2 linked regions of the Caenorhabditis elegans genome follow. Each later gene encodes a partner of the first gene's protein in a complex. Each region holds a gene or a part of one and is shown on either strand. Other genes may lie near its edges.

Evidence for each region. Proteins that work in one complex are often made in the same cells at the same time.
Region 2: mec-10 (region 1) and mec-2 share a complex: the UniProt entries of both Caenorhabditis elegans proteins name them as parts of the non-voltage-gated amiloride-sensitive cation channel complex.

Annotation. Positions count from the first base shown.
Region 1 is NC_003284.9:8,468,577-8,472,331, forward strand, and holds the start of mec-10 (Degenerin mec-10), read right to left. Parts: upstream 1,739-3,755; 5' UTR 1,665-1,738; coding exon 1,396-1,664; intron 1,349-1,395; coding exon 1,256-1,348; intron 1,010-1,255; coding exon 888-1,009; intron 683-887; coding exon 600-682; intron 550-599; coding exon 253-549; intron 150-252; coding exon 80-149; intron 1-79. UniProt on the Caenorhabditis elegans protein: Subunit of an amiloride-sensitive cation channel (degenerin channel complex) permeable for sodium, potassium, lithium and N-methylglucamine, and required for mechanosensory transduction (touch sensitivity).
Region 2 is NC_003284.9:5,573,875-5,577,629, reverse strand, and holds the start of mec-2 (Band 7 domain-containing protein), read right to left. Parts: upstream 1,662-3,755; coding exon 1,440-1,661; intron 1,384-1,439; coding exon 1,284-1,383; intron 1-1,283. UniProt on the Caenorhabditis elegans protein: Subunit of an amiloride-sensitive cation channel (degenerin channel complex) permeable for sodium, potassium, lithium and N-methylglucamine, and required for mechanosensory transduction (touch sensitivity).

The DNA of each region.
Region 1 (3,755 bases):
TCGTTGGGTGTGTTTTTTTGGTCCACACAGATCGGAAAACCAACACTTGCATCCTTTTCAAACGCCTCCCTCGCAATACCTTTCTTAGCTTTTTTGCTGCATAAATAATGCTCATCACACGTTTGACATGTAGTATTTGTCCACTGCTCCTGAAAAAAATCTGTTGACGTTTCTATTTTCTCTTTTTTTTGCAACAAGTTGCTTCATGCAAACTAATAGGCGGAATACACCAAAGCTTTGAGAGTGACCTACTTTTCTATGACACGGCCACGCATCGTTGGTCTGCCGATCGAAAGCACAAATGCACATATCATTATCGCCCGATGGCTTTTCAGTGGATCTTTCTTCACATTCATTGGAACCGTCTTCCTCGTCGCACTCACAAGCCGAGTTCGCTGGTTCAAATGTTCCCTTCTCGCCAGCTCCTCTCTTTTTTCTTTTTGCTTGGATAGTTATTCCATTCATATCATATTCGGTTTCCTCCTCTTCTTCCAATGCTTCCGAGCTGCTATCACCAGCTTTTTTCATAACACTTTTGAATACACCAAGCTAAAAAAATATGAATAGAGGGGAAAACTCTCGGGAAAACAGAAACTCACGATTTTACTAATACTGTCATGTGATCTGATGACACTATCTTTGTACGGGTTCAAATTGCAAAGAGTAATTGCAGGAAAGGGCGCTGAAAAAAACGGAAACTAAAAACTTACACCTGGAATATTTTGAAAATGGTATCGTATTGTATTGCAGTTAAAAACAGTGACATGATATTATTATAAGCACGGAAACAAAAAACTTAAAGTAAAAGTTATAAAGGTGAAAAATGCGTTACTACTATTTTCAAAACACTTTTTAAGATCGTATTGAAGAACTCAGAAACCACTCGCCTGTGTCAAACTTCAATTGTATATCCGTGATTTTATCCATCTTCTGATACTTCTGAATCACAGCGACCGCCTGATTGATAAATTGTATAGCACAGATTAGAAGCAAGAATACCCATGCAGCTCTGGAAAAAGGTTTTATGGGTTGGTTTACTGTCAAACACAAAAAAATATTGTTAGATAATTTTGTTTAAAGGAGAAGTAAGTGTTTTTGTTTATTATTTTTTATTTTTCTTCAATGATCTTTTGATTAAATAAACTAAACACTTTTATTATGACCGTTGAAAACTTTAAAAATAGCTAACAGCTGGTTTTTTTTTCATATCTCTGCTGTTTCTTAAGATGAAGCTCCCTCCCAATATGCCTATTACCTGTATAAACTGTTTGGAGCTTGCCCAAGCATTGGAATACCATGACTAGATGTTTTATAGCAAAACTGTTGTAAATGCCATCTTATTCTTTCTCTGAAAAATTAGTATGAAATCACAAATAATCGAAGAAAAAGACAAACCTGTAAGATAATCTTGTCGGGTCAATTTCAATACCACCGTTTTCTGTCAGAAGATCGCACTGAATTTCTTTTTCGTGTGCATTATTGCTTTCTCCGTAAGCATAAGATGTCATAATTTCCGCAACATTCAGAAAGTTAGTGTCACTTGCGAGATAATTTGAAAAATCGGTTTTGAAACTTCTGAGCGAACGCAAATCTGTTTCATCTTGAAATCGACTGCGACTACGAGGATTTGGTTGAAATTTTGACATTCGCGGGTTTCGATTCATTTTTTGAATTTTGTACAAATAACAGAATCAACGGACGTTTTCTAAGAACCGAGTGAAGCGCTTGGACCAATTCGACAAAACGAATGCATTTGTAAGTGGGACTCATTTTCCCATAATCGGATGTTTTGTGCACGTTTCTCAGCTATGCATGACTTCCCCATCCCAAAAAATTCCTTCATTCTATCGTTGTGATAGTTCATAGATGAACTTTAATGTTCTCATCGAATCGTGTGTTTCATCGAAAAGTAAGACGAGATGGTGCGTCAAAAGTCACGCAAAACGGAAATTTACCTGATAACAGCACCACGTACCGACCGATTATACTGTTACAGAATAGCTGTTTGCACATTTCGCAAGACGAGAGATGACAAAATATCGATAGAAGTGTAGCTAGTGAGCACAAAGATAATACGTGATTATCATGTGGACTTGATGTATGGAAATTTCTTTAAATTATGTTTACTTTCTTAAGAGGACTTTTAATCATTGACAATTTTCTCGCAATGGTCGAATAGAACAAAAAAAACCAACACAATGCCTGAAGAGAAATAATTGCATCATCATATTTTAACTTTTCAGTGTTTTATTAATTTGAGCCCATAAAAATTGATTGGTTGCTGAAATATAATTGGTATGGGATTGCTCAGTCGGCACTGGTGGCCGTGAGCAACTGAATATGGGTTCCCAGTTCAAGTGCTGCATTCCGACAAGTTCACCTAGACCGAACTGGGAAGCGAAGCAATCCAAAACTGGATTTCAGTCTCAAGTTTGGACGTGGCTTAATTTAAAACACCGTGGGAGCGCCCCAACAATATTACCAGATTTCCACTTTTGCAGGGTATAGCTTGAGCGAGGATTGTCTTTTAATCCTTTTTATGAAAATTGTTCTATTAACTTTGAATACAAAACATATGTTTTATTAGCTCCTAGTGGAGCGAGACAAATACATAGAAGTGACAAAACAATAGATGCTGCGAGACTAAATTTTGAATGCGCATTGTTTTGATCTTTGACGAAACCATGATTTGTTACTTACTTGCTTAGTTACTTAGACGATCCGTTCTTCAGGAATTCGTGGTATTCCTGCGGATCACAGCAAGCCATTCTTTTCGGTCCTTGGCTATAGTGGACCATGGGGTGATGACTTCTCCGTCTGCGTCCCGAGTCGTGATCTCCTTTCGCAGCGAATCAGTTCATCGCATCGGCGGTCTTCCAACAGGCCTTTTCCAGTTCCAGGGGCGCCATTCTGTCATCAGCGTGGTCCATCTTCCGTCTTTCTTTCTCGCAACGTGTCCAGCCCATCCTAGCTTCCTCTTTTTCACGAAATTGAGCGGATCTCTTACTTGAGACATTTCACGAATATCTTCTCGATGAAGATCTCATTCTCGTTGTTGAATGAGTGTGATTCCCACAAGCCGTCTTTCTAGGGAGGCATGTGTGATTCTTACTCGTTCGGATAGAGCTTTGGTGAATGTCCAGGCTTCTGAACCATAGGTGAGAGCGGGAAGGACGATTGAATTATTGCTTTTAAAAGAGAAGTAGCGATTCTGGGTTTTTGTTCTAATTAACATGATTGAACCAAATTTCACCAAATTTCAGAACCAGACTGCTTCAGAAAATTTTCAACAAAACTTTTACGGTGGTTCGACATGTCATGACTAATAGTAAGAGCTGTAAAACTTTCAGTTGTTTTTCTTTTTTTTAAGAAGTTTGATAGAAAAATAGCCGGATCTTAACTAATTTGCTTGAAAACATTTCGAAAAAATTTGAAAAGCTATTTATGGTTTAGTACTTCAAATATACAACACAATGAAGTCAACTATTTATATACTATTGATTTAATGTTAAGTGACTTTGATTCCTGTTTTAGCTCAAAATACGTGCGATGTGTTGTGAGATATTGCAATTACTGCTCACTCATTCCCTTACATATTATCCAAATGAAAGAAAAAGTTGAGCAATGGCAAACTACATATTTTCTTTGAAAAATAAAACAAATTGTACTAAACTAGCTAATTTTGCAAATAACTCAAAGATTGAAAGATCAACATATTACAAATTATTAGGAGTTTTGATTTTAATCTAGTAGTA
Region 2 (3,755 bases), 2.9 Mb from region 1:
GATAATTTGAAAGAATGACACTTAAAAGGAACGTCTAACCGGTGCTGCCATTTTTTATAAGTAGTAAACAATCGTACTGATATTCAATTACTATTAATGAGTCGGTAAATTTGCTGTTTTCAACCAGATTCGAGAATCGTTGAGTTCAACGTAGTTAATTGTTAATTCACCTTAAGCCTTAAGCTTAAGAAAGTCTGTTGCTATTTTTTTTGTTTTGTAGGAACGACAAACGCGTAATGTTACAACATCTCCAATTTCTTCAATATATAGTTTCTAGTTATTAGTACTGATTTCTTAATTTTCGTTTATAAGATTTAAGAACTCAGTTATATCAAACAACTCAACTTGCTACAAGAAAAAAAACAAAGGAAAACCAGAATTGGAGGTGTTACAACTAGTAATCAGAATTTGTTATTGAATTTCATCATGAGAATTGGCGAAGCACGACGACATGTATACGACAAGAAATAGAGATCAGAAAAAAACAGGATCATTGAAAATTATGAGCCAGCCTGTGTTGAACTTGACTGTTAAAAATAATGAATTTTCATATTATGTAGAAGTCGAAAGGTGAGAAACTTTGCCGTATTCTATGTAGGCGCTTGGGTCTCGCCAAACAAGGGATTTTTAGCATTTTCAAAATGTAGCATGAACTCAGAAATCGCCACTTTTTGACTGTCTATAAAACATTTTCAAAAACTGAAACGTTTTATTATTATATTTGGTTGGTTTTTATTTACCAGTAGTATTTCACAATTCCACTGGCGCATTCAAACGTTTAAATGATAAAGAATATTACCGAAGTATATATAACCAGAAACTTGTGAGACAAATCGGTACCAAGGTTAACTCGAATTACATTTAAGCATTACTTGTCGGCTAACCGCATTTCCTCTATTTGTATTGCACTTCACTGTTTTATTTTGAAAAATTAAATTTAGGTTCATTGTGAGAATACCACTAAATGATTAACTACAGAACAATGAAAATAGAAACAACACAGCATTCGTCATTTGACTTTTTTTCAAAGATATAACAAAGGACAACTAAGATATGACCCAATAAAATACTGTATTTTACATCAGTTTTCAGAAATTTAAATAATTGAATAAGTTGTTAAAGCTTTAACAACAGCGTGTCACAATTTTAAACAATTTCGAACATTTTTTTAGAGTAAAGCAGCATTTTGAACCTTAAAGTTGTCACTTAACAAATGAAAGCACGAGTTTCTACATATGTATGACTAATTCAATCAAATAAGTGACAAAGATTGTAGTTTCTACCTTTTTCCTCTTTTCCATTTCCTTTCTCCACATCCTTTTCAGCTTGCTTTTCTTTTTTCACCGAGTCATCGTCGCTGTTGGCCGAGATGATTGATGTACTCTACAGCGGAAACAAATACGATAATCCGGAAACCAAAAAATTTAATAGACACACACCTCTTCAAGTTGCTGTAAAGTCCTGGTCGCCATATTCTCAACTTCGTCCGATGACGTTGATAAGAGATCATCGTCTTTGGAGCTGGATGATGGGAGCATGGCGCCCTCCTGTTGAATACTAGAGCTCCGTTCGTTGCTAACCAATCGAGTCTCGACCTTGACAGAGCCGTTTGAAGATAGTGAAACGACCGAATTGCGAGCTGATGACATTGTGGCGCTCATAGATTGAATGTGTGGGCATTCAGTCACAGACTACTGGGACACGATTCACGAATGACACATAAACACTCGGCGAATAGTGGGATGTACTCTCGAATGTATGGATTTCGTTGAGCAAGCCGGGCTCACACCCCAAAAAGAAGACGACTCTGCTCCAATTGGTATATGACGTCCCTGATTACAAATGCAAAGAAAACAGTTAGGGGTAACAGTGCAGCGAAGAACTTGCTACTAGCCTATTGTCTCTGGCGTGACTTGTCCATTGTAATGCAAGAGTTTCGAGAACATTTTCGTTTTGGGATCTTGAAGTTGCCAGAAACTTGAATAGTAGGACTTATATGCATATGTTAGGTCGGACTTTAGAATAGTAGTTTCTTGGGAAAAAGGTCAGGCGGGAAAAGGCGAATGGAAACAGTGAACGGGAAACCTGGGAAGCTGAAAATTTTCTTGAAAATCGAAACGCTTCGAAGCCGTAAATTAATTTCAAATGATATAGTTTTAAATAACTATTATTAGAAATACATTTAATCATGAGATACATAATGGTGGCTGAAATAACTCTTCTGTAACTCTTCTGAAACTCTCAACACTCTCTAAATTTGTAATTAAAAGTAGTCCACGTTTCTTATCAGATTCCTCACGTTAACGCAATTTGTTTATGAAAATTCCTAACTTTCAATGTTACCTCTTGGGGAAAACTATGATAATTTTAGGTTGTATGAAATTAAAGAAAATGGGTCAAAGGGACAGAGTGCTGTAAAAAACTCTTTAAAAAATGATTATGCAATTATCCAAATTCTTTATGATTTTTAAATTTGCAACAAAAAATGGTTTTAAAAAATTTGATACATTTTTGGATGATACGACCTACTTTTAAAAATGTGTTCTAAAATATAAATGTATGATTGGATTGAAGGCGGAAAATGGAAAATAAATTTTAAAGTTTAAAAAACCCAAAAATAAACATACAGCTTAATTTCCACAATTTCCAAAACTCAATTCAAAATAAAGATAGAAATAAAATGTATCGAAGAAATGTTTTGTTTTAATTTTAGAGTATAAGTTTGTTTTACTATGATATTTAGCCATAACATTTTAATAACCCCTATTTTCAAAACAAACAACTATTTACGAAACGTATTTTTTTGCATATGGTCCTTTTTTGACAACTGTTATCAAAATTGTCAGTATACCCTTTTTTGTTAGTTCGAATTTTCCATATTTCTTACTTTGTATTATATTTCTTATTCATGAATTCCTCGTGTAAAAAATTAAACTAGACACACAATTTACAACATCTAGTCCTTTACGATTCACTGCATTTTCATTAAATGCTCTTTTTCACTCCTCCTCCTCCTGACTATATCCTCCTCCTTCTGACTTCTTGTTGTATTGTTTATATGTTTCCCACGCCATCGTCAAGAATAACTTTCGAAAAAAGACACAAAGATGGATTATGTGAAACTTGAGATTTTTTCATTATATTTTTAAGTATCATAAAACCATTGGGAGTGTTTTGAGAAACAACTATGACGAATGCACAAAGCCATTTGAACTAGCCGTTTTCATCTTCAGATTGGTTGCGAATTCTCGTTTTTTTTTGTTTTGAACACACTCCAGTTGTTGCTAACTGAGAGTGCGGAAACGTGTCATTCCGGTGTGAAGCGTTTTTTTTGCAAATACACATAACGTATGGAAGATGTATTTCATGTGTGTATGTGTTATGAAAAAAGGATGCACACCAATTGAATCAACCTTGTCGTTGCGGGGGCTTATTGAAAAAGTTGAAAGTACTTGAAGTATCTGACAATTTTGCAAAATGGGAAACATAACGTTAACACTCTTTGGGTGGACGCTTTTAGGTGCTCTCAGGAATTTCGAGCTCTCGTCTCACTTTTCCTAGCCCTCATTAACTCATTCTTCCTTTTCTTCTCAACACACAGATTTCCGACTTTGCCTCGAAAGCGACTTCTATGGCCATCACGCAATCAAGAATAGCAGAAGCTTACTCTGCATTAAAAGTAAGAGTGTAAGTGAATGTCGAGCGAGGATTTGATGAATAAAACAGACTTTCTTCTTGACAGCCTAACTTTACTC